Tamandua tetradactyla: one gene and its partner. Each later gene encodes a partner of the first gene's protein in a complex. Links are inferred from orthologs where the notes say so. Each region holds a gene or a part of one and is shown on either strand. Other genes may lie near its edges.

The links.
Region 2: the proteins of NAA50 (region 1) and NAA15 are in contact, whole or in part, in a cryo-EM structure (PDB 6PPL), measured with the Homo sapiens proteins. The link is inferred for Tamandua tetradactyla from reciprocal best matches to the Homo sapiens genes NAA50 and NAA15. Residues at the interface, in NP_079422.1 of Homo sapiens: Arg5, His14, Asn15, Lys17, Gln18, Arg21, Leu22, Val25, Phe51, Asn52, Ile54, Ala55, Leu80, Pro82, Tyr83, Leu86; in NP_476516.1 of Homo sapiens: Pro369, Pro370, Thr371, Leu374, Ser403, Thr404, Pro405, Thr406, Leu407, Ile408, Phe411, Glu433, Ala436, Leu437, Asp438, Thr439, Ala440.

Annotation. Positions count from the first base shown.
Region 1 is NC_135336.1:32,898,543-32,915,142, reverse strand, and holds the start of NAA50 (N-alpha-acetyltransferase 50), read right to left. Parts: upstream 7,677-16,600; 5' UTR 7,373-7,676; coding exon 7,365-7,372; intron 1-7,364. UniProt on the Homo sapiens protein: N-alpha-acetyltransferase that acetylates the N-terminus of proteins that retain their initiating methionine. Has a broad substrate specificity: able to acetylate the initiator methionine of most peptides, except for those with a proline in second position.
Region 2 is NC_135348.1:28,801,011-28,817,118, reverse strand, and holds the start of NAA15 (N-alpha-acetyltransferase 15, NatA auxiliary subunit), read left to right. Parts: upstream 1-8,739; 5' UTR 8,740-9,022; coding exon 9,023-9,076; intron 9,077-14,867; exon of another isoform or gene 14,868-16,108. Other genes in the region: NDUFC1 (NADH dehydrogenase [ubiquinone] 1 subunit C1, mitochondrial), read right to left, coding at 1,261-1,320, 3,471-3,574, 4,127-4,193. UniProt on the Homo sapiens protein: Auxillary subunit of N-terminal acetyltransferase complexes which display alpha (N-terminal) acetyltransferase (NAT) activity. The NAT activity may be important for vascular, hematopoietic and neuronal growth and development.

The DNA of each region.
Region 1 (16,600 bases):
AGGCCACATCTGAGTAACAAAAGAGGTCCTACAGGTAGGCTAAGCTTCTAGACTACATAAATAAGCTTCACAAGAGTAAGCCTCAAGGTAAAGGGCTTGGCCTATTGATTTGAGTGTCCCCAATATTTGACACAGTATTAGGGGTTTCTCTACTGGTAAAGTTTAGTGGTTTCATATTTTTTATTCCATTCCTCAAGTGTTCACCAATACTTTTTGATTATCTGCTCAATATACCCCGGGATGTATCGAGGTACTACATTAAACTATACAGGATTACAGGCCCTCATTCTTATTCTGGTCTCCCTGGGTTTGAGTTGTTTAAATGATCGATCCAGATAGGTTGAGTTAGATGATGTGCTACAGAAAATTTAGGTTCTGGACAAAATAAGCCTTTCTTCCTTTAGTCTCATAGAGTAGGCGAAGTTCTCAAATTCAGATCATTGTTTTCTTTATCCCTGTATTCTGAATTACCTTAATCTCAACCTAATCGGCTTTGTTCTTATCTCTAAATACCAGATTATACACATACAGCACAGCCTCTCAAAATCCAGAAATAACAATACTTCTCTGGACTAAATGTTACTGCTATAAAGGCTTACAATCTAGGCCCAAATTTTCTTATAAGTATTTTCTAAATGAGACCATACAATCTTTGCTCTTTTGTTTCTGGTTTATTTTGCCTCACCAAATGTCCCATAGGTTCATTCACAATGTTGCATGCCTCAAAACTTCCTTTTTTTAGCAGCATAATATTCGATCATATGTATATACCATCACTCACCGCTCTTCTTCTTAGTGCTTCCTTCAGCTACTTCACCTCCATCTATTCCCTCACCAGATAGAAAATACAAACCTCCCCTTAACTCGTGCCCTCCCCCCCATTATCTACCCCTGATATTGTTGTGGTACTGTTAATGTTTTCCTGTGAAGCAAAGTCCCTAACATGCAATAGTAGTTTTTACCCTAACCCAAATTATACACTCTTTGTACATGAGTCATACCTTTTAGGTAGTTCATGCAAGACCTTACTTATATTTGTAAATTTAATTGGTGGGACACATAGGTCTACACAACCCCTTTCAATCATGTTCATCTTCAGCATGGTATATTACTCATAAACCCATTTGCAAACTGCCTTCTCTTCTATCTATTCCCTTAATCTGAGTTCAACCTCATTTGCTAACTGTTTACCCATCTCTAGTTTCCGTGTATTGCTAGGTTCCCCACATTCTATATTATAAGCTTCTGATTTTACCTTTAACACGGTCATAAATGTGGAATTTTTATACAGTATGTATCCTTTTGTATCTGGTTTATTTCACTCAGCAGTATGTCCTCAAGGTTCATCCACCTTGTCATGTGCTTCAGGACGTCATTTCATCTTACTGCTGCATAATATTCCACTGCATGTATATACCACATTTTGTTAATCCGCTTGTTTGTTGATGGACACTTGTTTGGATTATTTCTATCTTTTGGCGATTGTGAATAATGTGGAATGAACATCGGTGTACAAATGTCTGTTTGTGTCACTGCTTTCAGCTCTTCCGGTACATACTGAGTAGTGGTATTTAAGTCATTCCTTTTACAAATAAAGAAACTAAGACCCAGAGGTCAAGAAACTTGTTAGTGACCCCACTGCTAAGTATTATTAGGGGCACACTGAATTAGAACTTGGTTGCATTGGTTAATTACACTTTGCATTATAATTTCCTTTTATTAAGGCATGTTATACTACAGATAATAAGTTATACAAACTGTAACAGGAAAAAAATTCAAACATACCGGATATGTACATTTTCTGGACTAAGAAATAAATGTTTAAAATGTTCTTAGTATTTTCATACACTGCAGGCAGTAAACATTGCTACCGTCTCTTTGGAGGATTAATTGGCAACCACATTTTACCAGAGTTTTTAAAATGTGGTTAACTTCTCATTCAAAACACTCACTTTCAGGGAATTATCCAAAAGAAATAACTAAAAGTGTGTGTCAAGTATTTTTAAGAGCAAGCATGCACTACCTTACCATAGGGGAATGAGATGGGAAGCCACTGGTCTTGGAAAATGAAGTGTTCCCTTAAGAACAGCTTTAACAATGATGGAGACAGGATATAGGTTATATTAGCTCAGCAAAGAGAGGCAAATACATACATCCAATTCTCCCTTCCCTATCCATTATAAGCAGAGATTGAATGACAATACTCAAATCTAAACCCAGGACTGGCCTCAGAATCCTCCACAGAGGTATAAATAGCCACAAATTAACTGTCAGACTGTATGTTGAAACATTTACCATCTGGGAACTAGATTCTGGATAAAAAGATCATATTTTACACAACTTCATTTTTTTCACAGTCCAATACAGCGCCGTTGAACAGAAATATAATTTAAAGTCACATAAGTAATTCAAAATTTTCTACTAGCCACATTAAAAAAGTAAAACGAAACAAGTGAAATCATTTCAATGTGCAATCAAAATAAAAACTAATAATGAGTATATATTTTTCCATACTGGGTCTCCAAAACCCAGTATGTAGTACACTTACAGCACATCTCAATTCATGTAATTTCCCTTAGAAATATTTTGGTCTGTATTTATATTTCATAAAATGTATAGCTGAAAAAGAAGATCCACATATCCAAGTCATTCCATACTTAAAAACTGTCCAATAACAGACTGTATAAGTTTAAAATTTTTAATTAAATTTTAAAATTCTATTCCTCAGTCATACAACTCACAATTCAGTTACCCAACAGCCACTTTAACTAGCCACTACTATATTGGACACCACAGACCTAACACTTTGCCAATAAATTAGATACTGAATGAATGTAAATAGGAAATGATGGAGGAAGAAATATAAAGAGAAAGCTAGTTTGGGTGACGGCACAACAATGTAATTTTGTAGCTATTAAACTACAATCCAACAATTATTAATTCCTCGATGGAAAGGAAGTTCCTATTAGTTAACTACTGGTGTTCTATTGGTTATTGTGAGGTTGTTAAAAAAAAAAAAAGTTGAAGGACAAACATCTGAATAATTGAGAAAGCGTATCTCTTCAGATGGTACAAAGCTGAAAGTCCTAGTTGATGTTTGGAAGACAAAACCAGGAGACAAAATGACTTCCACAGTCCAAAATAGAGGATGTAGCAAAATGAAGTTATCAGTTGAAAACTAATAGATATCAGTTGAAAGACAATGGTTGAAATCTGCATAAGCCTCAGGAAGGGATTTTCGTTGAAAGTACAGTTAATATACAACAGTGTAAAATTAATTTGACCATAAATTGCAATAACAGGCATATACTATTCAGAACAATGATGACAACAGTCCCACCTCCCCATTCTACTAATCATATCTGGAGTGACATTCACATAACAGCAGTTTGAAAGTTTGAGAAACAGGGCATATTATCTTGAAGTGATAGAAGAATGCTTTGTCTTCTGGAAGATCTTTAAAAGACAATCTTAAAAAAAAAAAATCTCCCAACCCAGAAATTATTGATTATTCTTTGTTTTTTTTCCAAAACGTTACCATGGTTGACTACAAGTGGAGGACGGATTATTAAAAAAAAAAAAAAAAGAAAATCACACCCCTGTTGGCAACAGAGCTTGAGCCACCAATGCATATACTTGTTGGTATCTGATATCACTTCCTAAATTATAAAATTATTCTATTTACAGAGAAATATGAAATCTGATATTCTTATATCCTATGGTGTAGTTGTAGCTGACCATTTATATAATGAAATAAATATTTCATTACAATTTACTTTCCTTTTTATTTCTCCTTTATATTAAAGTTATAGGGAATTACACTGATTTAAAAAAAAAAACTTGCAGTACAGGTATATTCACCTCAATATAGCAAAGGGGACACTAAAGAGTATTTGTTAAAATCATCATCTCAAATAGCATCTCACAAGTTACTGGTTTCCCAGAAGTGAGGATCATGAATCACAGGTTTACAAAAGCTGACTCTTACTTTAGTCTGAAGGGCTTTAAAAAAAAAATTGCTTTGCTGGCAAAAACAGCAATAAAACGTTAAGAAAAAAAAGAAAAAGAAGCTGTCTAATAAATAAAATATTAAGAAAAAAGAAGCTGTTTAATAAGTTAAAAAAGTATAAGTTATACAGTAAAGGGTATAAATTGTGTGTACAATGCAACAGCTTTCTTTTTTTTTAATATATGTATACAACTATGTAATCAACATCCAGAAAAACACAGACTATTTCTAGCATCTCAGAATCTGACTCTCTTGTGTCCCCTCCCAGCCATAGTTGGAGGTAACCATTATTTTGAATTCTTCAACATAGTTTCTGACCAAGATTCTTATACTTTAATTTTATTTTCTAGTAGCATTTGCTGAAAATGACTTTTAGTGTTTTAATTAGTAAACTACATTGTTGCACATACTACATATTATTGGTGTCTACTCTCTACTTTCCCATCTTTACCTTGATCACGCATTTTTTTAAGTACATTTTTATGAGATCTAATTTATACCCCTTTTCTACAACTGAAGAGTAAATGGATTCACTTCTGCTTTCTATTATATTGACTAGTTAACTGCCACCTCAGTCATGGATGTCTATGGCATACCTTCTTGCTTGAGTTTCACCTTCCCTGGAGAGGAGTATAATTAAAATAATCAGCTTGCCATCCACAAATTCAAAATATAATGTCCCTTATTCATAAAAACAAGCAACCTCAGTACAAAGAAAGCATCATTCTTGTAACAGATCTCAAACACTGGACCTTTAAATACATGCAATAATTAATAATAGGAAATTCTCTACTATGGAGAAAGGCAAATATGTATGTTAACACAATGGAGTATTTTCTTCCTGGTAATAATGAAAACTAGGTAGATATATGAAGAAAAATGAGATAAATTCAAAAAGTTTAAAATGATAGATATGGAATATAAACAAACAACATAAAATATTTAAACTATACAGAATCAGGAGTTCTTCATTGTTTCAGATTTTAGGTATTCTATCCAACTTACTGTTCTGTTAGCTCAACATACAATAAAAACTTAGCAAATAAAATTCCATACAAAACCTACAGAGTAACTGACAACAAATCAAGAGTCAGGACTATAACACTGATTGCCTTCTGCTTGGTGATTTAAGTCTCTGAACTCAATGATGTTAAAATCTTGTAAACAATGTATACTGTCTTCTTGTGTTCAAACCTTAAATACAGACTTAGAAGCAAAATTTTTTTTTAAAGTACCATCTTACCTGTACTTCAGTTCATCTGGGAAGTTAAAGTGACTATTTCTGGAAAATCATAATTAAGGTTTACAGTTAAGAACACATTTCTAAGCTCCCAATCATGAGAAGTGCTAGGATCTAGACTTAAGGAATCTTCATTCCAGGGATGGTTGCTGGCTGGCATGAAGTACAAATTCAATAGCTGTGTTGCCTTAGGTTTCCTCTAAGTTTGGCTAATTACTCATTTCTGGGGCTCTGTCCCATCAAGTTAGTAACCTCTTACACGTAAATATTCATTTAAATAAAAAGACAGTTGCTTCATGGATATATTAAATGAATGTAGTACCTGAATAATACCACTATATAGCTCCATCTGTATAGCCATGTTAGGTATTACACATATTTCTTCCTAATTACACTGATCTAGACCAAAAAATTTGGAAACACCCAGAATAATTTCTTAGAGTCCCCCTTCTATAAATCTGTAGCAGCCTCATACTGGAAACTCTTCAGTTTCCTTTTTATTACTTGAAGAGAACAAGACAAGTTTGTACTGAGAGCCTGGCAATGAGAATACAGAAACAAGAGCCGACAACCATATTCAAGGAATGCAGTCTTACCAGGATTAAAAAAAAAAAAACACTCCCAAATTATGCTGGATCATGCCACATTTCCTAGATCATGATTTGAATGCAGCAAACACTTTTTAAGCCCCTCAATTAGTTTCCTTACTGGACTGATAGGATATAATGCAGGGACTGTGAACATTTCTTCATAATATCCTTAATTTCAAAGACTTTTTAATACAAAATGTACAATTTAACATTAGAAATAATTTCCTGTACTTAAAGGAAAATCATTGTAAGAAAACATATTACAGACCTAAGAACAAAAAACTTTCTTGGAACCTCTTCTTTAACACACACACACATATATAAACACACACTAGACAGTCTGAGATTACTTAAGCTTATCTTTATTTCATCTTCGAAAGGGCTGTTTGAAAGACTTCACTAACTCAAAAAGTTACTTATTTAACTGACTAAAGAGAAAAAACCGTAGGCACCTTAAAACCTTTTCATATTTATAAATTTTCAGGGCGGGCCACGGTGGCTCAGCAGGCAAGAATGCTCGCCTGCCATGCCAGAGAACCTGGGTTCGATTACCGGTGCCTGCCTATGCAAAAAAAAAAAAAATTTTTTTTTCATTTCTTTTTCTAAGGAGGGTAGAGAAGACAAGCTACAAAACTAACTCAGGCAATGATTTAAAATATAGCCTTATATAATTCTTATTTAAGAGTTATATTTAATACTAAGGAGACATTCTATCAACTGGAAACAGTCAAATCAAAATAGTCCCTAATTTTAACTAGAAGGGAAACAAAAACTTTGCAAAGCGTCTGAAAAAAGCATCAGATGAACACCCTAAGACCCCACTCAGCAGTCAGGGGCAACAGTAAACTACTGAAGCAATAGCTCCACCTACCGATCAACAACACTTCCTTAAACGTTTTGGCACCCCAGGACTACAGCGCTCGAGCTTTCTCCCCTCCCCCACCCGCTCTGACCCAACCCAAATCTAGTTGAGTCACTAGCCCTTAATACTCATACCCATGCTCTTTATTCTAATCCTCCCCCTCCCCCCCTCCAGAAGGTTCTGCACGGTTCCTAAGTGTGAATCAAACTGCACGGTGTGAAAGACAGCAGTTCCAGTGTTAATCCTCATCTGGAGAAGAGGACAAATTGACTACTCCACCTGGAGTGGCGGGCGGACACTGATCGGTGGCTCAGGCCGTCCATTCCGGGTAGGAGGCCACAGACGCCTCACAATAGCTTTTCCCTGCTGCCCCACTCATTCGCTACCTCCGTTCAGCCTACATTTATCCTTTGGGCCAAAATCCTCGGGTTTCCCGAGTCTTACCTCCGCTGGTCCTTCAGCCCGCCAACAACCCGAGCCCCGCCTCCGCCCCCTCCGTGAGTGGAGTGATCAGAGAAGCCCAGCAATCACCCTCTGCCCGGCACTTCACGACAGCCCTGTCTTCTCTCAGAGTCTCTCCTCTCTTTCGCTGCCTCCCTCCCTCTACCCGGGCTCAGGGTTTCTCCCCTGCCAACCAGGCCCAGCCCAGTTGCCCTTCCTCACCCTTTCATCTTCTCCGCCTGCTGAGGCCGTCGTTACCACTGATATCAACGCCGTCGTCGCCGCCGCCTTGAGCTCTTCGCGCCCTCAGCTCGGGCCACTCAACCCCAGAAGCCAGTCTACTCTCCTGGGGCAGGGAACTAAAGCGGGTGTCGGAGGCCGCAAGAATCAAGCGCGGCCCTGTGCCTCCAGAGGGGGCGGAGATGTCTCCTGCCGCCGCGTTGGTGCCGCCGCTTCTCCACACGTGCACACGGGGCGCTCGGCTCCAGCCCGCCGCCGCGCCGCCAGCCAGACCCGCCGCGGCGCCGTGACCTTTCACCCCACCCCCTCTACGCGCCGGCGCGTCCGCCGTTTCGCGCGCGCAGCCGCACTACTTCCCTTCGTGCGCCCTTCCCCCTCCAGTACGGGGCCTTCATTTTACTGGGTTTGGCGTTCTAGCATTCTCTTTTTCCTACTCCTTAACACTAATTGTGGGGCCTCGGTGGTAGAATCCATTTTTTCCACTCATCCTTTTTTCTCTCCCCTGTTAACAATATCAACCGTCGCCCACCCTTTCTTCCTAATTGGTAGTATCCAGAATGACCTTCAAATGCTTCTGTTTCCTAATAGGATTTTATTGAAACCAGTTCTTCGAAAATGTAAATAAGTCTGTGAAAAACTTAAATAAAAGTAGGTGGATTTGACACAAACGCAATTAACTGGCGGGTTTACTCGACTTTCCTCCACATGCCTCCAGCTTTAAGATGACGTGATTGGTCCAAACCTTACAGCCTGGGATTTTGCTGGTGCGCCGCAAGGGAACTCTATCGCCATTTCCGGTCACTAGATTATGGCTTGGACGTCACTTCCTTAGCATGTACCTTAACCCTTGTCGTGTACGCTTCCTACGTTACACTTCATGACACAAACTTTGTATAAATGTTTACGCTTCTTCTTTAATCACAAACAGAAAAATTTAATGCGCAAACGATCCACAAAAATAGAGCCTTCTCAGATGAAGTGCGCGCGGATGGAGGCGGCGGGGAGGAGCTCTAGGTCACGTGCTGTCTAGACCCGCCCCCTCTGCAGCTGAAGACTTCCCCGCCCGCGGTGACAGAGCTCCTGCGTCCGTGGTCCTTACTGGTCTCTGCACCTCGCGCCACAGCAGGTGAACGGCGACCGGTAATCGGCGACTGGTGGGGATAGTAGAAGGGGTTGGTGGGCGATGTGGGGGAGTGCGATAGGCGGCCGTCGCTGCCGGGGCCTTCATCTCCATTGTCACCCTGCACCAGAAAGGCGCTCATTTTTCTAGTACTACTGAGCCCTGCTCCCTACTTTGGCCGCCCCCGCTACCTGGGGGTTGGAATGTCCACTCTTTCCAGGGTTGGGGGTACGTGCGGCCATTGTGGTTTCCCATTGGAAGTCCTTGGGACTTCGACAAGTGGTATTGCTTCAGCTAGTCCTCGGGGTCTGCAACAGCCGCCCGGTCTCATTCCCTAAAGCCCATTCTTTGGCAGAATACCTGCGCCGCCTTTCCCCCAACTCGGGGCTGAGTAGCGAGGAAGTAGGAAAAAAACCTGGAGGAAGAAGTGTCTGTGGTGAGATAGGCTTGGTAGAGAATGTCACTGATATGGATGACCCTCTCTGCGGAGTCACCGAAGAGCTTGCTTGCGAACGTGCTTTCTCAGTAATTATAAGGTTTTTATCTGACATCCCTGCCGTAGGGGCTCTGTAGGTGTCCACATGCTTTGGGTGGTTCTGGAAAGGTTTTTAAAAACAAGGTTGAACCTTTCACCTCAGATTTTATGGTGAAAAGAGGGAGGGAGGACTGTTAAAAGAGTGGATATATGCTAGCTTGAAAACAGGGGTGATGGTAATGCGACAGTGTCAGTTGAATGAAGAGGCGTTGGAAGATTGTTGCAACGTCGCGTACTGGAAGAGGTTCAGGCTAGCCTATGGAAAAGTGACTAGATTTTTCTGAAAGGAAAGTAATTCTTCAGAAACTGATCGGGCTGAAAATGGAATATAATTAAGTTTACTTGACCATAAATTTAAGATAAGATTAAGTTAGGATATTGCTGACTCCATGTTTTCTGGTTTTGGACGTCCTTATCTATATACCTTCTTACATAAAGCTATTTCTCCCTAAAATCCTACCTAAATGCTACTTCCTGTCAAATCCTTGACCAGTTTTAAGTAGCGCTTTGCAGCCCTCCTTAGCTCTCTCCATTTGTGAAATACCAGGTGACTTCTACATATTTTAATGAATAGTGTTTTGTGAAAATACAAAAATTGTTTTGCCTAGGTCTTGCCCAATAGTTAATGTTTTGCCCCCAACACTATTATTGCTCAAGGGAAGAGGCTTTTTCAGTTTGTATTGCAAACTCAGAAAGTTCTTTAGTTCTTTTACATCCAAAAGCCTCACAGATATTACAGATTTAATTTGCACTTTTTTGTAATCCGAAAAATCATGTTCTCAGTTAAGTCTCGTTAAACCAATGTAAATGAATAGTCCATTCAAAAGACAGTTGTCAAAGAGGAGGATGGTATCATTATCACTGGGATGTGACCCAATTACTCATTTTTGTATTTCTGTGTCTCCCAAATTTTGTACAATAAACTTGTTTTGTTAAGGAGAACAAAAAGTTAATTAAAATTTTGAAATAAAAACAATTTTAAAATAGTTTTATATTAAGTTAGTAATAGAAAAACTGTCCTATTGATGCTCCTTACAGAAAACATAACTTTAAAGGTCTTTCTTACTTGCTTTTTGCTCTAGTAATGAAGAAGACCAGAATTGTCCCCTTTGGATGTACAGTTTTGGCATTTTGTACTTAGATCCACAATAGTATTAATCTTTTGATAATTTATGTAGCTATGCCTGCTGCAGATATATAGTATTATCAATGAATTTGCTCCAGTGTGAGGCTTTCCTGATCTCTGTAGGACAGAAAAAAAAAAAAAAGAGCAGTATTGCTTCATTGCCCTGGGTGACATTCAGCCAAATAAGGAGAATTGCTTAAGTTCTGTGGAAGGTCCAAACCAGTCCTGGCTGGCTATGACCAAAGTAGAAAAGAAAAAACAGCTAAAAGCTTAGAGTACTAAAGGAAAACATCAATATGAAAGAGGTTGAATGAGTCTGCAATTTTACTTCACAATTCCCCCAATTTTAGGGAATTTATGACAGCAATAATTTAGATCACTGATGAAATCTGTGAGATTAGCAGCAGGAATTGGTAACTGAATTGCAGCTAAAGATGAGTGGTGAAAAGAGCTTTGACAGAATTATTCTCTCTCTCTCTCTCTCTCTCTCTCTCTCTCACACACACAAACACACACACACACGCACACAAAGTGATTTGAAGCTTGGAAGACATTTCTGAGACCAGCTTTATCAGTTTGAGTGTTACATGCAGAAATCTTAATGTTCATTAGGAAATTCAGTGGCTCCACAATTCAGTATTAAATGGTACCTAAGGTTTTTGCGTTAGGGTCCCTGACACTCTTCTGCTCTTCCTTTGAGGTTTTTCTTGTATTTCACTGCCTTTACAGATTGCTGTTCATACCAAGAATGCTCTTCCTTCTTCCCACCGGCAGAGCTAGTCACTTAGTCCTATAAACTATTATGCAATACTTTCAATTTATTTTAACTTTTAATACACTGTATTTAATTACTGTTTGCGGGCAGGCAACAGTGACTCTGACAGAATTCTCGCCTGCCGTGCCAGAGACCCGGGTTCGATTCCCAGAGCCTGCCCATGTCAAATAAATAAAAAATAAAAATAGAATTGATTATTAATTACTGTTTGCTAGACTGTTCCTCACTAAAGCTCCTAGGAGTTCAAGTACAGAGTCATTACTGCTGTTGTGTTTTAGCATCAGAGTGCTGAAGTACTAATAGGTATTGAATAAATTATTGACTATAGAGTATTTGGCAATTAGACAAGAAAATTAAATAACTTTAGCTCTTGCTGATCATATCGCCACCTAAGGTTATGCACTAGGTACCAGATATAATTGCTAATAATAAGCATCCAAATCTTTGTCAGTAGAATAGACATAAGCCTTAAATGAACTTATGATTAATTCAGTGATCATTGTAATTCTTTTCACAACAAATGTTTATAAAAGGTTTGGTTATCATCCAAATATGGGAGGGAAAGGAAGAGGAATAAGTTGTACTAACTGGAAAAAGTGTTTCTGCATGTGCTACAAATGGTATAGCATTATACTAAAATCATAAGGTCTTCAATCATGCCACTTTAGTTATATGTCCTTTTAAGTAAAGTTAGGATTGGAGAGCTAGGGTTTGATATTTAAGAACCTACCTCTCAAAGTTATTGTGCATTCAGGTGAGATAAGCCCTAGGTGATCTATATGAAAATAATTTTAAAATAACGTGGTATGTAAATGTAAAGCAATATAGTGCAGACTTTACGAGAATAGATTTTCCAATCAGAGCTGGGTTCAAATTCTGGCCCTAACAACTTATTAGATGTATGACCTTGGACAGTTTATTTAACCTAAGATTAAGTTTTCTCCTGGGTAAAATCTCCATAGGTGCTATTAAATAAGATCGTGAATATAGAGTGCTAGTACATGTTTTGTTAATTTTTTTTTATTATTAACTTTACTGATACCTACCATATATTATGTATTTATGTATGTATGTATTTATGTATTGTTATAGTGTATGGTGGGGGTTACATTTCATTGTTTTTCCTTGTGACTATCCCATTATTGCAGCACCATTTGTTGAAAAAAAATTTTTTTGGAGGGGTAGGGGGTAAATGCATGGGCCAGGAATCAAACCAAGATCTCCCACATGGCAGGCGAGAATTCTACCACTGAACTGCCCTTGTACCCCCTACTTCTATATTTTTGTACTGAATTTCTTAGGCACGCAAGACAGCCTAAAAAGTGAGTAGTGCCTCTTTTTGAGCACCAGGTTTGGGATATGAAGGAGATGGTAGAATTTAAAATTAGACTATTCAGAAAAATATGTATATATGTATATACTTCTAGCAGAGACTCTGAAACAGCTCTATTGGTTGGAGCTAAAACATATCAATATAAGGTCCATTATTTTAGCGACTGCAGTAACTTAATATTTTCTCTGCTGGTGACCATTAATATGTAGAATCAATTTAAGGAAGCAGTTCTTCTATTCCTAAATTTTTGTCTATACAGTGAATTATAGAAAAATATTAAAATTGTACAGACCTAAACATTTTGTACACACACCTGTTCGTTTTGTACAGACCTGCACGTTTTTTAATGAATGCCTATATTAAAAGTTAAAAGTGTTGTCTTTAAACTTTCATATCTTTTTTTTAATATGAAATAGACTAGAAGTAAGCAGCACATAATGGAAAAATGAATTATAACAAATTTTTCCCTCTTTAAAGTGGTGACTCACAGATTAGTGTTGGAAAATATCAGTAAATCAAATAATAATTGAAGTATAGCTGTCATGACTTTATGTTTCAAACCTTAATCCTGAAAAAAGTTAATTGCAAATTTGTTATAAGGAAAGATTTTATTGTGAGTATAATAAATAAATAAATAAATGAATCTTTAATGTCAAGTTCTCTATTATAAAGGAATAATTTATGGCTAATAAGAATGTTTTCCCTTTAAGTTCTTTTTCTGTAGAGACTTTAAAATTTTGCTATTTTCTTTATTCCTGTTGTGACATGACTGGTTTATATAAGTTTATTCATCTATATGTATAGTATATTTATATTATATATGTAATGTACGTATAGCAAGTATTTTCATATATGTCTATGTAAAGGCAGCTGAAATGAATGCATATATTAGTCACTGCTATAAATAAAATTATCTAATGATTATTTTAATTTATTTGACCCTTTTGTATATTTGTTTGTAGTTAGCTCTGTTTAGCCTAAGTGATTAAACACTTACAAAAATTGATGGTATATTGTAAGTATTCAGATTTAAATTTAAGCACTTTAATTCTTGTATTCTGTGATTTTGGGGTCCTTGTTTTTTTTTTTTCTTTTTGTTGTTTTTAATTTATTTTTCTTTTTTTGTCACTTATTTTTTGTATGAATATTAATATGACTAACTTACAATAAAATTTCAAGATTCAAATCTTAATGCTATCTTTAGAAACTATTGTTTCTTTGGTGGAAAACATTTTTTTAAATTATACTTAAAATTTGCCACAGTTTGTGTGTCTCCTAAAAAATAATTAAGCTTATTTCATTGAAAATGAAATGGGTGGTACATTGAATGGTGCAGAATAGCTTCAGGTGTGTTTGAGGAATGAAAAGCAACTAGACATTTTGCATGTTGTTGTAGTTATTTCTTAGGTTAATTTTTTTAAGTGTTTATTTAAAAGTGAATAGAAAAGACTAAAATGAAAAATACTTGTAAAATTGAAGAAAGGGCATGATAAAAAACTATGCAATTGTAATATACATATAGAATAAATTGTAAGGAAATGCATCAAAATAATTTTCTTTACATTAGAAATTTATGGACAATTTAAATTCCATAAGTATAATTTATATTTTAGTTTTTATAGTCAATAAGTTTTCCTTGGGCAGCAAACTTTTTTTTTTAAGTAATGTGGAGAATTAAGCCATTTAAATAGTTATTCTTAATTACTTGGAAATTTCAGTTAAAAAATACTCTGAATTATTCAGATAACTGCATGTATTATTTAGTTTTATAGGTAGAGATATATTTTTAATCTCCTATATAAATGTAGCAGAATTTAAAATGGAAAAACAATTTCTCTGTATAAGGGAATTTAATATATGACCAAGTAATATTTCAATTTGGTCAGTAAAAGACATATCTATTTAGTAAGTATAACCAATATGGTAGTCCTTCTGGAAGAAAATAAAACTAAACCACTACTCTGCAGCATATGCAAAAATCAGTTTCGGAAGAATTCAGACTTTAAATGTAAACAAAATATTTAAAATATTAATCCTATAAATTTTCTTTATACATGCAATCTAGGTATAGTGGGGATTTTGTAAACCAAGATGGGATGCCTAAAAGTCATAAAAGTAAACATAGACATATTATACTATGTAGAAATGAAGAATTCTTCAATGACAAAAATAAATAGAAGGGGGAAAAACGTTTGAAATGTATGTAACAGATAAAGAATTAACATTTGTAATAGCTCTTAAAAATTAAGGAAAAGTCCACCCATTAGGAACAGGAGTAAAACATATGACCAGAAGTTCATAGAAGAGAAATCCAAACATTCATAAGCATGAGAAAGTTTGTCACTTCATTAGTTATCAGTATATGAACAATGAAATATTACTTCTGTCACTAGCAAAAATTAAATGGTAAACCAACTGTTAGCAGGGGTGTGTGTTAAAGGATTTTCTCATGAGTTACCAGTGAAGATATGAATTGTTACAGGCTTTTGGTAAGCAATCAGGCAATTTCTGTTAATATTGAAAAAAATATATTTATTTCCATCCAGCATTTCATTGCATATAATCTCTTACTTAAAAATAAAAGCCCTAGTAGGTAGGCAGGTTTAACATCAATGTTGATTGCAGCAACGTTTCAAGAGCAAAAACCTAGGAACAAAGAAAATACCTGTCAATAGGGGTATTATTAATGTAAATCATGGTATAGTTATATAATTAAATATTCTGAAGCCATTAAAAACTGGGAGTTAAATCTTACTGTGACTTGGATCACCAAATACATCCTGAAAGGATTTCCATGATCATCTTAAGTGAGAACAGTGGTATGAAAAAAATGTGTGTCATATGATACCATTTTTCTAGAACAATTTAAAAACATGAGTTTTTTATATGCTTATGTGACTGTCTATGAACATTGGAAGAGAGAACTAAGGAAAAGGGGCTCTTGCGCATAGTCAAGTGTGCTTGTAAAACTACATGTTTATGCATGTATATGTGCAAGCTGAGTTGAATGGTCACCAAAATGTTAAGTAGTTGTCTTAAAGTATTTGGATGGGCGTTTCAGGTAATTTATCTCTTTCCTTATACTTTTCTATACTGTGTTTTTACTTTTACAATGAACATGTAGTGTTTCTCTAAGTATAAAAACCAAAACTAATTGCATTTTGAAAAAAGAAATAGAATGGCGGAGGGGGAGATAGAGTGAATTGAAATGGCCAGAGATGACAATTATTGAGAAAAAAACATTTGTCTTAGGTTCTTGAATATCTAAGGGGAAAGTATATACATTATCTAGGTAACACAATAGATTCACTTCACAATTTTATATATGTGATAACCCTCAGTCACACAATAAAAAATTGTCATTAAATATGTTTGGTAAAATAATAGTCATTATCAGAGGGGTAGTTATAAACTGACATTTTATTTTTAGTTTGGTTTATTAAGTCCTCCTAAAATGATTTCTGCCTTGTAGATAGATGTAGGGTATATTTCACAAGAATGGCGTATGTTACCTGACTTAATCATGTGACAGTCTTTATCAGAAAAGCTTCAAATAAGAAAACTACTTCACTGAGTGCTATGAGGATTAAATGAATAATACAAGTAAAGAACTATAATTGGTATAAAAAGAGCTATATAAATATTTGGTATTTTTATTTCGTTATGCCCTTGCTCAGTTAATTCGAGATGTATGGTTGTTGGTCCAATTGTTTTAACATTCACCAAATCATTCAATATTTTTAATTAAGTTAGAGGGGTAATAGACGCAGAAATACAGGGAAAAAGTTATATAGTTATGTGTGTGTGTGCTCTCTCTCTCTCTCTCTCTCTCTCTCTCTCCCCCTCCCTGTCTTCTTTTTTTTCACATATTTGTCCGCAAAGGTAGTACCTCTTAATATCATTCTGGACCTAGCATTTTTTACTTAAAATTGTATCCTGGTGATCTTTCCAAGTTGATACAGTTAAAGTTGCCTCACTGTTTTAAATAAAATCTAATATTCAATTGTGCAGATGTGCCATCATTGTCATTCTGAATGTTTACTGAGTTCTTTCTCCTGATACAAGCACTTTTTTTGACATTAACTTGGAAAACCTCTTAGCAACCTTATGAGATAGGTACTCTTTTTAACCCTGTTTAACAAATGAGGGAAATTAGAAATGGGGTGGTGAAATGGCCAATAATGGGCTGGTTAAATACCCAACAATGCCACTGTAGCTAGTAATTTGTAGGAACTCAGGATTGAACCCAGGGAGTCTCTTTTCAGACCTTGCTGTCTTAATATCATTAAGCATGCAAGCCTCTTATACTACCACAATTTATTTAACTAG
Region 2 (16,108 bases), on another chromosome or scaffold:
GTGGTAAAAATAATCAATGTCCTAAAAAATCACTCCAAGTATTCAACATGAGGTAGCAGATTGAACTTTTTGTTTATTGATGAAATTTTTCAACTTGTACATTTAATCCAATATATCTTCCATATTGAAATACTTCTAATAATGTACTTCAGAACTGATATTTTCTATAAGTTGTCAGAATATGCATTATCTGAAGAACAGATATTTTCTTTTTTCATTTAATGATGCAATACACAAATGCTGACTTTATACATTCACACATAACCTTTTTCTTTCATAGTTACAATTCAAAAGATTTGTAAATTCAGAGGAACTGCTGTAATCACTACACGGAGCATACCTATAATGAAGAAAAAAAATGAAACACTATAGGATTAGCCAGCAAAAATATTAAAATTAAACTATTCTAAATAATTCACCTTAGAGCAACAGGAAACATTTAGAAAACAAATCCACAAAGAATGTCAACCCCTCATTTTATCTACATTTTAACAAGAAATATTTAAAAAAATATTTTAGATAATCTAATCCACAACAGTTGAGATTTGCGAGTGACTTTCACTTTACAAAAGGATTAATTATAGGATTTTTTAAATGGATTTTCAGAAATTCATCTAATACATATACAAAACAAGCTTTCTATTTTAGATCAAAGACCATGCAAAGCACAATATCTTGCTTGTTTTAAGAGTAATTCTCCATTTGGGTGCCAGCTGTAGTGACGATTATAATGATATGGTCATGCAGAAAACATTTTAAAATCTATTGCTCTTATATATTTATCCATTCAACAAACATTAAACTCCTAAACGTGCCAGGCATCTGGTAAGTTGCTGAGAATTAGATCAATAAATTAGATAGGGTTACCACTGTCATGGAATTTACAGTCAAATGTGGAATATGTTAAAAAAAATTAAGAAATACTTTTAAAAATAATTAACACTTGTCACGTGCTATGAAGGAAATATGTAAACACTACTAGAGTTAAGAAAATAACATGATTTTGGTTTCATTCTCAGACACAACTTCCTTTGTTTTTGAGAACATTTATCCAGAGTAATGATCATGCTAACAAAAAATCAAAAATGAAAATAAAATAAAATAAACTGACTATGCTTAAGAGCCAAGGTATTAAATAAATTTGTCACAGATAGGAATATGGATGTTGGAAAGCATAAATCTAATAACTATTAAATAAACTGTATAACCTTTTCATTTTATAAAATTATATACTACTTACTATATTAGCATTTCCAAAGCTTATTTCAAGCCATTTCTTCTTTTATACTCTAAAACATCTTCATTATGTTGGTTGATGAGCTAGAAGTAAGTAACAATTAAAAGCAGAAATGCAATTTCCCTGGCAACTTAAAGAGGAGGAGGATACTAATAACACATATTTTGCAAGAGAAATGAGGATAGAATTAAATAATTACAATTATTCTAATAAGAAATAAAAGACTAAGAGATCCTAAAGTCCAAAAATCATGAATGTATAGACTTCTTCATAACAATCTGACATGCTATGTTTGAAAAAGCAATGCTTAAAAGTTTGTATCCAACTTCTGCCAAATAAATTACTTAATTCAGTGGGATATAAATGTGATGGAATACTTTACCACAGAGGGCTTAAATCAAGATATAATACAGAACTTGGTTATTAAATGGGGTCCAGACCAGTTGGTGGGTGTGTACTATACTTCTAACCTTAGAAGTGTGATGCTGTGAATGAATGACCAACTCTACTTCCCAACAAAAAGTGTATGACTTAGAGTATGATTGCTGAATTATTTATTGATATTTCTTTCAGTCTCCAGTATCTTAGAGCAGCTAAAAGTAAAAACTTAAAATTGTGGAATTGTAAAAGTGTATTAGATATCATGAAGGAAAACCACCTGACAGAATACGCAACTTAATGATGATTGATGTAGGATGAAATTTACTGAAATCTAAGATCCAGTTTTAACAGTTAGTCCTCAGCAGCAATTAAGACTTTTAGGGAAAAATTTTAACTGAAATTTAAAATGTACAAAATTTCACTACAACAAATATTGTCAAAAATGATTAGCTAATGGTTGCAACTGTAAATGACTTTGGACATCTCTTACTCTGTCCAATGTCAAAGATGTGAATCACTTGAATTAGAAAATACAAAATAAGAGCTCTAAGGGCTGGAAGTGGGGGGCGACAGGAGAAGCCCCAAAGTCAATAGACATACAAAAAAAAAATTTAATGCTAATGTAGATACTCTGAGTTTACTTTTTTTAAAAAAGAGAGAGGGAGTGTTTCACAATGGTCTATAGGGTGGCCTCTGAAGTATGTAAGAACTGGGTTCAGTAAATTAATCTCCCGAAGCTTGTTTCTTATTCTGCAAAAGGGGAACAATAATAGTACCTACCATATAATATTGCTGAAGAGTTTTTATATGCAAAGCATTTGGCATACAGTAAAGATCCAGATATAAAAAAGCCTGCTACACACGAGGTACAATTTCCAACAATACATTTAATACGAACATTAAAAACTAATGTATTAGAAATCTAATGGGATTTCATTTGTATAGCTTCTTCTGAAAAAGTGCTTTCATAACACCCCAACCAGTCTCACTCATCATTAAGAAATAAAGGGTAATTAATACTTAGCAAAATTGCCATTCCTCACAATACCACACTTAGTAACAACGAACAGGAATTTCAATCTCATCATACTTTCTCCACGCTGAAATATTTTTCTTTTTTTAAAATTTCTTTTTAGTTTTTTATTTTGAAATACATTTAAACTTACAGGGCAATTACAAAAACAGTACAAATCCATACAGAAAACTCCAATATAACCCTACACCCCAGATACTCAGGTCCACTAATTATATTTTGCCACATTTTCCATATCATTCTATCTATCCATCTGTCTATCAATCCATTTTCTGAACACTTAAGTGTACGCTGTATATAGTATGTCCCTTGAATATTAATTTAACATTGATATAAAGCTTACAGACTATATTCCAATTCAAATTTTTTCATATGTCCCAATAATGTTCCTTTGAGCCTTTTTGCCTCCTTTGTTGGATCCTGTCCAGGATCACATACTGCATTTAATTACAATTGTCTTTTTAGATGCTCTTGTTTGTTTGCTTTTTTTTTTCCTTTTAATTGCGGAACATATATACAACATAAACTCTCCCATCTCAATCACCCCCAAGCTCATCATTCACTGGGATTTAATCACATTCACAATATTGCGATACCTCCGTCCATTACCAAAAGTGCATCATCTATGGAAACAGAAACCCTTCACCTGTTGTAATTTTAATATTTCTTGGGGTCATTTCCCTTAAGGAGAAATATGTTAGCGATCACAAAAGTATGCATTCTGTGGGAGTCCTGCTCGTGAATCTCACACTGACATTCATCTGCCTTTCTTCTTTATTCCTTGTATCTGTTCTTACGATGTGAGAGTCAAGTACTTACATAGGCCCAGAGAAAGACGGTGGTGCCCAAGGTCAGTCCAACTTTCAGCCAGTCGGGATTGCTGTGCTGCGGCTCCCGAACGTAGAATTTTGACCGTACAGAAGCTGAAACAGGTCAGAGGGGTATGCATATCTGTAACTTAGGGCCTCGACGGAAAAAAAACTTAACATTTATGTGTGTGTTATCGTATTTAATTCTTTTTTCAACAGCCAAGGTAAAAGAAGTTAGAGGAATCAATGAACTCGCCCAGGGCCACCGGCAAGTCCTGCCTCCAGGACATCTACACGGTGCAGTTTACCCACTCACAGATCCTCAGACAACTCCGGCTGTGGGAGCGCAAGGACACGCTTCGGGGAGGGTCTCTTCTCCTGCATCTGCTAAACCGAACCTGCAGTGTGGAGTGTGCGGTGGGAAACCAAAGTCTATTCGCAGAGGTCAAGAAGGGTTTGGTGGCGCTTGGTGCTGGGTCAGCGGCGGGTGACGGGGAACCGAGAGTCTGAGGTGGGAACAGGGGCAGGCGCTAGGCCGCGGGCGGGAGGTCACTGGAGGGAGAACGCGGGCCGCACCGCCTCCTACCCCCGCGGGCCGGGATCGCACTGGAAGGGGTAGGCGGCGTAGGGGGAGTCGGATAGGCTTGCGCGAGAAGGGACACTCACGAGCACTAGGGAACCGCGCCGGGGCCAGCAGCTTGGAGAAGGAACGCAGCAACCCGGACGGCGCCATCTTGCCGGGTTAGGCTCCACCTCCGCGTCCGCGCCAAACCCACTGTCCCCGCCCACCCCTGGAGCCTAAGCCCGAGCCAGGGCGAGCGCCCCCTGGCGGGCAAAAGGCGGGACTCGCCAGCTCCGCAGCCGCTTTCGGTGGAACGTCAACTGCGAGCAGCGGTTATGGTCAGGTAGGTAACTCAACTTCTCTGGCTTCGGTCTTCTGTCTGTCTGTAAAGGGGTTAGGAAGTGATTAAAAGAAAAAAAAAAAAGAGTTTATCCAGTTCTCTGACCTCTGAGAGTTTATTTCTCACCCCCTCCCTAGGGGCACTGTTTTTTATTAAAATCTTCCCACATGACACAGAAAACTGAAAACAAAGTGTCTCGTTGACTAGTAATAACTAGCATTTTGACTGAGTTCTGTGTCCCAGGCGCTATGTTTAGCGCATTATATACTTTACATGCATTATCTCACTTCCTCTTCACAACTACCACATGACATGTCGAGATTATTCTCAATGTACAGACGTGACTCGAAGAAATCAAGCTACTCATCCAAGGTCATACGTTATCACTTATGTTTGTAAAAACCTCTTACAGTTTCCAAAATCGTGTGCCGGCATGATTATAGGGAAGTCTTACAACCCGGAGAGGATGAGAGAATCCCAGCGTTTAGAGGTGAATGGGTTCGGACCTGACCAAGATCACACAGCTGGGGAGGTGGGATTCCTGCTGAAGTCTGTTCCCAGAACTGGTGATCCTCAGCCTGGACTGTGGTGGAAAGCAAGATTCAAACTGCCAAGTTCAAAGCATTGCTCATGCTCACCACTTTTTAGTTCTATGATTTTTAGGCAGATTACTTAACTTCTTTGTGCATATAACACAAAACCTATTTTATAAGGTATGTTGGGAATCTTAGAAAGTGTCTGTTTTTGCCTGTCAAAGACATTGTACTGGCATGTTTTATCTTTGCACAAGTAAGCCAGATTCTTCCCCCCTCCCTCTATATTTTTAAAATATTATTTAAAATGTGTTTTTAACCCAAAATTATCGAATAAATAATAAAATAATTGTAGTATGCCTTTTGGCTCATTTTTACATGCAACTGTTGGCTAAATGGATTGCTAACTTTGTGAGTCACTTATTAGTTTTGTGACCTAGTTTTGAGCCTCTGGGACTCATGTTCAAGTAAGCAAACCACCCAACTAATGCGCTGAGTCAGTGATTAGGTCCTAGCTTCTTGGCTTCTTATTCATTCAGCAGCACGTAAACTGTATATCTTTTCTTGGAAACATGTCCTGACAAAGCTTTTACTAGTATCCAACAGGTTGAAACAGAAGACGTGCTTAGTCAGCTAGCAAATTACTAACTTCATTACTGATGTTGGGAAAGATCGTGTTGTTTTTTTTGTCAGAGTTTTGGTTCCTGTATCCTTTAATAGTGTGTATTTTGGGAAAGTGATGAAGTGTAAGTGCATTTTTCTCAGTATGTTAGAGCTGATGGAACCCTATACTTGCTGTGGGCAGCTGCAGGTGAAACTCCATCATGGAAAGAATCCTGCTGAAGCAATTCCAGCCAGAAGCTAATAGCTATGATATTTTGGTAGAAGTTGCTTCATGATATTCATTTAAGTAGCTCCAAGATACTTAATGCTAAAACCCTTATTTATGGCCCAGGCAAAGAGAAAGGGCAAGTTTTAGTTCCAGATTTTCCCATTGGGAAATGTCTTACTCAATGCATACTTCCCAAGGAAGGTTAAGGAAGAGCAAGAGTTGCAAACAGTATAATATCTATGTAAAATTTTAAAAATGCAAAACCACAACATCTATCATTTATTGATTTTTTCTTTTAATATTTTTATTGAGGTATCTTCATATATGTACAGTCCATCCAAAGTATACAATGGCTTACAATATCATCACATAGTTGTGCACTCATCACCATGGTCATCTTATAACATTTGCATCACTCTAGAGAGAGATAAAAAGAAAAAACTCATACATCTCATGCTTCTCATTTATTGATTTTTGTTTGTTTGTTTAACATGGGCAGGCACTGGGAATCGAACCCGGGTCTTTGGCATGGCAAGTGAGAACTCTGCTAGTGAGCCATAGCGGCCCATCCCATTTACTGATTTTTAATGCAAGAGAATTCTACAGATCCAGTACAGGATCTGGAGAGGGATGGAGTTTCTGATGTATTTGCGAGTTTTAATTTGGAAAAACAAACAAAAAGATCAGAAACAATAGTAAAATATAAACATTTGTTAAATCTGGGTAGCATATAACTTCCTTTATATTGCTTTTCTATGACATTTGATTATTTAATAATGCAGAAGTAAAAGTGTCAATAGAGAACTTTTTTTTTTTTTGCATGGGTAGGCACCAGGAATTGAACCCAGGTCTCTGGCATAGCAGGCGAGAAATCTGCTTGGTGAGCCGCTGTGGCCTGCTCAATAGAGAACATTTTGAACTTCATAAATGAAGTTCAGTTTTCAGTGGAGAAATTATACTCCATATATCCCTTCTGTAGAATTAAATTTTGCAAGGTAAATTATTTTTCATTAGTTAAAATATTTTAGAGGAGGCATTTTGCAAGTGACATGCAAATACATGGAATAAGATGAACTATCCATCATGATTATCATCATTATAACTTCCTGCTTAGCTGTCAATTCACAGCAAAACTCTAGTTTAACAGGATCTCCATTTGTCAAACAGTGGTGATCAGAATAGATATTTTATTGAGTTCAGGCTATCTAGTCCTAGGCTGTGTGATCAGACTAATGCTCTCTGTGAGTGCATTTTAACTAGGATATGAATCAGATAAATGTTGAATCAGAATAGCAGTGACTGAGTCCTAAAAATTGCTGTTTGTTAGCAGCAAAAAAAAAAAAAAAAAAAAAGTAACATTTGCCCAACTATATCATTCAGGTACCCAGCTTCGGGTGGAAACCACTATTTGTTTCAAAGATCAGAAATCTCCTTCTCCCAAGGGGAAAAGTATATATTATTTACAGGAGAAATTTAGAAAACCATAGCAAACAATACTGCTGTAGGGATTTTGGGATATGAAACCAAGGGTTTGGAAGCCCAAGTTAGCTAAGCTAAAATTATCACCTGTAATTGGGAAATTTTTCTGTCATTTAATAGTTCAGATAATTTGATAGAAAGATTTTTTGAGGTAGTGAAGTTTGTAGGTTATTACTAAATAACAACTGTTTTTCATGAATTCTAAGTTGTCTAATCTTTAAAAATTAAGGTTAAGGAACTGGTCATATTCCAAAACCCACACAGGGGTTCTGTAACTACAATTTTTTAAATGAAATTTTGAAACCACAAATTTCAGGGAAATGCCAGGATTTGAATGATGCAACCTTATTCATATGACCCAGGCAAAAGGAGAGGGCATTTGAAATAGTAGCTAGAAAATCCGAATTTTTGTACCAGATTATTCCCACTGAGAACAGTCTTATTCAACTCACACCACCCAGGGAGGGTTAAGGAAGAATGAGCTGAAAACTTTATCTATATAAATTAAAAAAGAAAAGAAAAGAAAAGAAACAAAACCACGAGTATATTGTTTATTGGCTTATTATGCAAAGAATGCTACAGATCAAATTGATCTGGAGAGAGATCATCAAAAACCAAGGGTAAAAAATGGTTGACAGAACGTGAAAAGTTTTGCATCATCAATGGAATGCCACTTTGATAAAAATTTTACTGTCGGTGGTTAGTGAAGTGACGTATATACATTGTTTACTAGAATCTGAGCGGGAGGGACCTTATTCGGTATTGTCTGTCCGACCTTGTCCATTGCAGTCATTTTCCCTAGCATATTCATCGGCTTCTAAAGTCTGGGAATTGCTGGTAATGCAGAGTTCAACGAGTCACAATATTTTTAAGCACTAGCTTACGGCCAGCTCTAGGTAAGCCAATGACCCTGAACTCTCCACTGTCCTAAGGGCATATACGGCACGACGGATTGGGCTAACTACCTCTCTAGGTTCATCTTAAAGAATATTCTTCAAATCACCCATACCCCTCCAGGTTCATCTTAAGCAATACTCGTCGAATCACCAAACCCCATTCAAGCCTCCCTCACGCTCTTCAAATTCTATCAAGCCTCCCGGCATTCCTATCAGTTCCCAAGTCCCCATTATGCAGAAGCCTCATTTCCACTCCGCCTCTGCTTTTTAATTGGGCATTTCCTCTACGAACAACCACAGCGCTTCTTTAACACCTGCAGTTTAGCACTTACGGTTCAAGGAGCGTCCACCCAATGAATGAAAGGCCCTCCTAGCAGAAAAGTGCAGAAAGCCTATTTTTGATGAGGAGGCGGTTGGAGGCAGAGTTGGCCCCTTTCTAGCCCCCTCGCTTATCCCGGGCTTCTAGGTCAGAGCTTATAAAAGACAGGGTAATGCCTGCCGCGACCCTCACAGCCTCCGCGAGCCGGTCAGCCTCCAGGTTTCCCGGCAAGCTCCAGGACAGAAGAGGTGGGGAAAGGAGGTCACCGCGCCTGCGTGCTCGGAGGTGTGACCCGGGTGGGAAAGCCCTCCGCGTCCGCCATTTTGGCTGCTCTGTCGGTCTGTTCAGTTACCACGTGAACCGCCGACGGGGACTGGCTGGGGGGAGGCGGCGGCAGCAGCGTTAAGTGAGAAAGGAGAAAAGACAACGAAGGGAAGAGGGTGTCCAGGTGGGGCGACGCGGCGAACACTTGAGGCCTGGTAGCCGTGGCAGTCGGGGTATTCAAGGCTGAATCAGCCAGGGAACGGCGGCGGCGGCGGCGGTCGGACAAACAGACTGACCGAGCCGGGTGGTGGAGGGAGCAGCGGGAGGAGCCGGAACGATGCCGGCCGTAAGCCTCCCGCCCAAGGAGAACGCGCTCTTCAAGCGGATCTTGGTAAGTGTGAGCGTCTCGGCACGCACTGGGGAGGATTTAGCCCCTACCTGGGCCTGTCAGCCGTAACCTCGGTCAGGAGAGCACCGAGCCACCCCCGCCGGGGACCCTGCTTTCGTAGTTCTAGTCAGGCGGAATGCACTCTCTTGTCCCCTCCCTGTGGCTTCCACTTCTCTCCGCTCACCGGGCACCACAGGCGTCAACCTGCTTTCCAATAACCACGCTTCGGAGGCCCTGGTTCCGGACTAGGCCCCATTCTGCCGGCTTCTAGACTTTCGTTCCTTTCGTCCCCGAGCGAAGGAAGGCAAGGCCTGGCCTTTAGGTGGGAAGCGTGCAACACGGGTTGGTGTCGCGGTCCGGGTTGTGCGGGAACGCTGACCAGCAGGCCTGGGCGGCACCCGTGAAAGGAACAGGTGGTGCCGATGCAGCACGGCTCATTCATTGCCTAAGCGCGGCTCTCTCTCCATGGTCCCTCCCCATTTCTTCCCCTCCTAGAATTCACCTGTCTCCGCCGATCCTGGGGCCACTGAATGACCTGGGAGAAGGAAGATAGGAGGGAGTAGTAAAGGAAAGGAAGCTTTCTAAACATTGTAATCAGTTGCATACTTGAGTCTGCAGCCTTACTGGCTTCTCTTGTTCCCTCCGTTCTGGAGTAGGGAAGAAACATTTATTTCTTAGTTTCGGAGCGGGAAACCTCCCCACCCCTTCATCCTTCTCCTCACAAGGTAGAACCCATTACAAGGGGGCGGTCCGGTAGGAAGTGAAAAGTTAAGTACCTTTAGTTGAAAGTTCTAAGCAGACTTTTCTTTTGTACTTAAGTGTGTATAATGATGCCAAAACTTAGCAGCAGGGAAAAAAGAATATAGAACTTTTGAGATGGCTCTCACTTATTCCCTACGGTTCGAATGTGTGCAACTTGCATAAATCCGTAGATGCAATGATGTTTGGATGACTATTTACAATGTAAAATTTGACTTGTAGCCTTGGCGCTATAATTAATACATTGTAGCAGGTTTTTGTATGGCGTTCAGTGTGTGGGTTGTCCCTTTTATGCAAACAGTCATTCTGAAAGAATTACCTGTTTTTGTTCAACTTAAACCTTTTAAGATTTGGGGGGTGTGTATGAAAGTGTTAGTTCTTTACTCTTGCAATTAGAATTTATTTCACTTGTTGAAGTACTCCTGGGATCCAGTTTTTCTAGAAATAAAAAGTAATCTGTGTTGAATCAACTTTGATATTGCAAAACTATATACATTACAGATATAGTCAGTTCATCTTGAAAAACATATTACAAAGTAGCATCCAATACCATATAATTTTTAATCACTTGAAACCTGTAGTGCCACTTCTTAATTTTAAAACTAATTGGAGTGTAGGTGGGACTATAGCTTAGTTATACTAGAGCAGTTGTTTTTAAACCTTTTAAAGGACTAATTCGTTTGTAGGTAGGACTAACCTTGTTTTGAGATAGCAATATATCTTTAATTCCTCCCCTCAGTTTTTGAAAAAATTCAAGCAAAAGTTGAAGGGAGTGCAAGAAGTAAATAGATAACATTTTATCATGTTTCATATTTGCTTTCTTTTCCCAAATATAAAATATTTAAAAGTGACTTGGCAGACAAAACCACTGCACCTCTAAATACTTCAGCAGCAGTATCCTAAGAATAAGAAATTCTGTATAATCATAATACTGTTAACAGTTATTTCCTAATATTTTCTAATATCCAATTCATACTTAGATTTTCCTAGTTTATTTTGGGATTGTAAAGTCACATTTTGTAAGGAGTAATAGATCCCCTATGACGTTTACCTGGTTTCCCCTCATGTTAATGCCATGCAAAATAATAGTTCAGTATCACAACACTCATACAGTCTACCAGTCTTCAGATTTCCCGTTTTACTTGTACTCACATGTATGTGTGTGTTTAGTTTTTACAGTGTTATCACAAGTATAGATGCCACATCCACACTAGAGTCAAGATACAGTACAGTTCCATCAGTCCAAGAGTATCTCCTGTTGCCCTTTTAGAAACACATCCCCTCCTTTCCATCCCTTCTCCCCCCAAACTCTGGCAACCACTAATCTGCACTCTGTTTCTATAGTTTTGTAATCTCAATAATGTTATGTAAAAGGAATAAAACTGTATAACTTTCTTTATTGTGAAAATAGCATATATACAAAAAAGGGATAAATTTCAAAGCACACGGTAACAATTGGTTATAGGACAGATTTCAGAGTTTGGTATGGGTTACAGTTCCACAATTTTAGGTTTTTCTTTCTCACTGCTCCAAGACACTGGAGACTAAAAGTAATATCCTATAATGATTCAGCAGTCATACTAATTTGTTAAATCCTATCTTCTTTGTTATAACTCCACCTTCTTTGGTATTTCTTCCAATCTTTAGGGGTATTTGGGCTATGCCCATTCTAACTGGGATGGGGGGTGGAACTAGTTGATGTTTTACAAGGGCTGGCTGCTCTGGATTTCAGGACTTATCTGGCCTAGGAACCCATCTGGAGGTTGTAGCTTTCGGGAAAGTAATCATAGTGCATGGAACCTTTGTAGAATCTCAGATAAAGCCCTAGGTGTTCTTTAGGTTTGGCAGGAATGGTTTTGTTTCTGGTTTGGCAAACCATGATAAATAGCAGTAGCTAGCTGAAGCTTGTGTAAAAGCCTCTCCACTCTATTTAAACTCTCTCAGCCACTGAAACTTTGTTACGATTCTTTCCCCCTTTTGGTCAGGAAGGCATTGTCATCCCACAGTGCCAGGGCCACGCTCATCTTTGGGAGTCATATCCTACCTTGCCAGGAAATTTTCACCTCCCGATGTCATGTTCCACATAGGAGGGAGGGTAATGATTTTACTTGCAAACTTGGGCGTAGAGAGATACAGGCCACATCTGAGCAACAAAAGAGGTCCTCTGATAGTAACTCTAAGGGATAACTATAGGTAGGCTTAGCTTTTCCAATACATAAATGAACTTCTCAAGCGCAAGCCTCAAGATCAAGGGCTTGACCTGCTGACTTGGGAGTCCCTAATGTTTGCCACAGTATCAGGGGTTTCTCAGTAGTAAAGTTTAATAGTTCCATATTTTTTTCTCCAGACCCTCAAGGGACTTTGCCAGTACTTTTTATTACCTGTTCAGCATACTCTAGGATGTATCTGGGTATTACATTAAGCTATGCAGAATTACAAGCGCTCATTTCCATTCTGGGTTCCATGTTAAAACTATAACTTTTTAGGATTTGTTTTCTTTACTGAGCATAATTTCCTTGAGATTGATCCAAGTTGTTGTGTGTATCAGTAGTCTGTTCCTTTTTATTGCTGATATGAATGTATCACCATTTAACCGTTCATAGACATCAATTTTTGATCAAGCATCTTAAACTGTTTTTTCTTCCTTTTTTTTATTGGTGATAGTGGGAAGGGCAGAACCTTTAAGTTCATTACTAAAATCAGTGTTAAAAGATTTGTTGTGATAATTTGTATGCAAACGTTTAGAAGTTCTGAGAAATGTGAAAATCACTAAATGAAAGAAAAATGAAGAGGATATAATGTCCTTATTCTCTTACATTAGGAATGCAGAAAATATTATTAAACAATGCAAAGAAAAGTTAGTATTTGCTTTTTTGAAATTGCTTCTGCTTCCTCAGCTTTTGTATTGTTAGCTCTTTTGTTTTTAAGTTCCTACCCCTCCCACCCCCAATATAAGAAAACTTGGATATACTCTAAAGTCTTGTTATCAAGTGTTGCTAGGTTGATAACTTATACTAGCAGCCTTCAGATTTTGAACTGCTATTTTGTTAGTGGTATCATACTTCTTTGTATATAGGAAATTAATTTAGTTTAAATTTTTAAAAAAGTTTGAGACCTTAGTTTCAAAATAATGAAATGTTTTTTGCATTTATTTTTCAATAGAAATTTGGTTTACACGTTAGTTTGCAAAAAATTTAGAGTTTCTGTACTGGATTTGCCTGGGTTGATCTGGTCTTAGTTATCTAAAATTCAGTTGTGTTGCATATTTGGTTTTTCCTTTTTTTTTTTTTCCTCCTTACTCAACTCAGTGTTTTCTGGTTACATTATTGTTGTAAGTTGGTAAAAGATGCCTGTATAACATTTCTTGTCTATAATTTGCCTATTGAGAAAGGGGGAGTAAATTTAATGTGATATATTTTATGTATACATTTAGTTTAAAGAAGAGTTGTTTGTTAGAATTCTTTTTTTTAATTACACACTGGTTTAACAATTTTGAAAACTAAGTCACTAGAAAATTGTGAGTTTTGTCTACTGTTGATCTTGTTTGTATATCAAGATAGTTTGAGGAGTGTTTCTAGATCTTTATTGCATTTTCTTGGGCTCTAGATTGAGGGATAAGAAAACTGAGGATGCCAGGATAGAATGAAATCCACACCTTTTTAGGTTTTAGCCCACTTGAAAAGTTAAACACACCCTAATGCCTTGCCGTCAAGAGTGATTACTGCTGCTGCTTCTTCCTTTCTTCATATATTAATGTGAATTACGAGAAAAAAATCTGAATTGGAAGTACTTTAAATATTGTACATCCTTAATAAATATATTTTTGTACTTTTGCTCGAGTGACTTATATGTTGTTTAGTCATAAATTAAAAGGACAATTTTATTTTGCTAGAAAAATGGGAGAGGACATTGGCATAGCATGATAATAATAATAGCTATGTTTTATTGAAAAGCTACCAGTTTCCAGGCTCTGTCCTAGATGCTTTAAAGTTGCACTGAACTTTCAGTGATAATGGAAATGTTCTGTACCTCCTCTGTCCCATATGATAGCCATTAGCACGTGTGCTCATTGCATGCGTGAGATATGGTAATGTGACTGAATTTTTTATTTTAATTTATTTTATTTTAATTAGGTTAAATATCAGTTCAAATAACTGAGTAGATGAGTTGCCACCATTTGGACAGTGCACTTTTTACAGTCCTTTTTCCTTCGTTCTCAAAACTTTTTAGATTAGGAGACGTTTTTATTAAGGAAACAGAGAATGAGGTTAAGTAACACGCTTAAACCAAAGAGCTTGTGTTAGGTAGTCAGGGATCAAACTTTGTTTTTTCCAGTGACACTTAACAGCCACACCAGCCTCATGTCTATTTATTTATTTTCTCATGGCTCTATATAGAAGGAAGGAGTTCTTTATTAGGTAAAAGAGTTGTAATAATTGTTTAGGTTGCTGTTTCTACATTTAATGATATTTAGTTTAGATTTAGTTGCAGATGAAAGAAATGTTAGAAATTGTTAACAAGTAGGTTTCCATATGCACATGGAAGGTCATCTGATTAAATTTCTGTATGACAGAATTCTGGTTTTGCAGCTGAATGTGGCCAGTAACTTGAAATTGATTTCAGTAGATTTGTTTTTTGTTTTTTTTTTTGGCATGGGCAGGGACTGGGACGAGAACCCGGTTCTCCGGCTTGGCAGGAGAGAACTCTGCCAAGGTGTCACCATCGCCTGCCCGGTTTCAGTTGATTTTGTCTATACTGCTTATGTTTAAAGTATAACAAAATTTTTAAAAAAAGAAAAAATGGAAACAAATTACCTACTGTGAAATCACTTCTTTCCTGTACACAGTAGCAAATCAAATATTTAAGTTAGAATAAATTTCTTTCTAAAAATATGTTAGAAAATGAAATGCAATTTTGCCATAGTACATATGTTGTATTGTTATAAAAACAGCGAAATACTTTAAAATCTTAAAATCTAGTAAAAACTTGATGATATATAAATTTGCTATCCATTTTTGTTTGCTTGCTAAATCCTTTCTGGAATGAGATATGAATATACCGATAAATGTATGTTACTTTAAATTGACAGTGCTTTAAAAAAAAATTCTTTATTGTATTAGAGACCTGAAATTTTTTTTTTCTGCCCTCCCCCCTAGTTTTTAAACAGCTTTATTAATACACTGGACAATCCATCTGAAGTGTAAGTCAGTGGTGCTTGGTATAATCAGAGAGTTGTGTATTCATCACTGTTTTGGTTTGCTAATGCTGCTGGAATGTGATATACCAGAAATGGATTGGCATTTATAAAGGGGATTTATTAAGGTACAAGTTATAATTCTAAGGCCGTGAAAATGTCCAAATTAAGGCACCAGCAACCTTCTTGGAGGAAAGGCAGTATCCATGTTCTTCTGTCACATGGGAAGGCACATGGTGATGTCTGCTGGCCTCCCAAGTTGGTTTCAAAATGGCTCTCTCAGCTCCTGGGGTCCTTCTGACTTCTGCCAAGGAGCTTTCCTTCTACATCTCCATACATTTGTATCTAGGCTAGGCATCTGCTCTCTTTGTCAGCTTTTTTAAAGACTTCAGTAAACTAATTGAGACCCACCTTGAATGGGTGGGGTCACATCTCCATGGATACAGTCCAATCAAAAGGTCCCACCCTGAACAATAAATCTGACCCCACAAAATTGAACTGATTAAAAGAACGTGGAAAAAAATAAGAACATTGCTTTTTCACACATAGTGGTTTCAAACCAGTATAGTAATCAGTCATTTGAAAACATCCTCGTTGCTCAAAAAAATAAAAATAAAAAATCCCATACCCAGTATACTCCCATATTATTGTGACTTAGCTTAGTATAGTACGTTTTTTACAATTGATGCAAGAATATTATAGTGTTACTGTTAACTATAGTCCATAGTTTGCGTCAGTTGTATTTTTTCCTCATAAGCCACCCTATTCTTAACACCTTGTAATGATGACTTACATTTGTTTTAGTTTGTGTAAGAACATTCTTATATTTGTACAGTTATTCACAGTCACTGTCCACAACAGGGTTCATCATCTTGTATAGCCCATGTTTTATCATCTAGCTTTCCTTCTAGTGACATACACAACCCATACTTCCCCTTTTAACCTTAATCACCCGTATTTCAGAGCTGTTAGTTACCCTTACAGTAAAGTGCTACTATCACATCTATCCAGTGATATTTATCCTTTTACATGTTTTTGAAAAGAATTCTTTTGAGTCAAGAGAGTAGGTTAAAAAATTACTT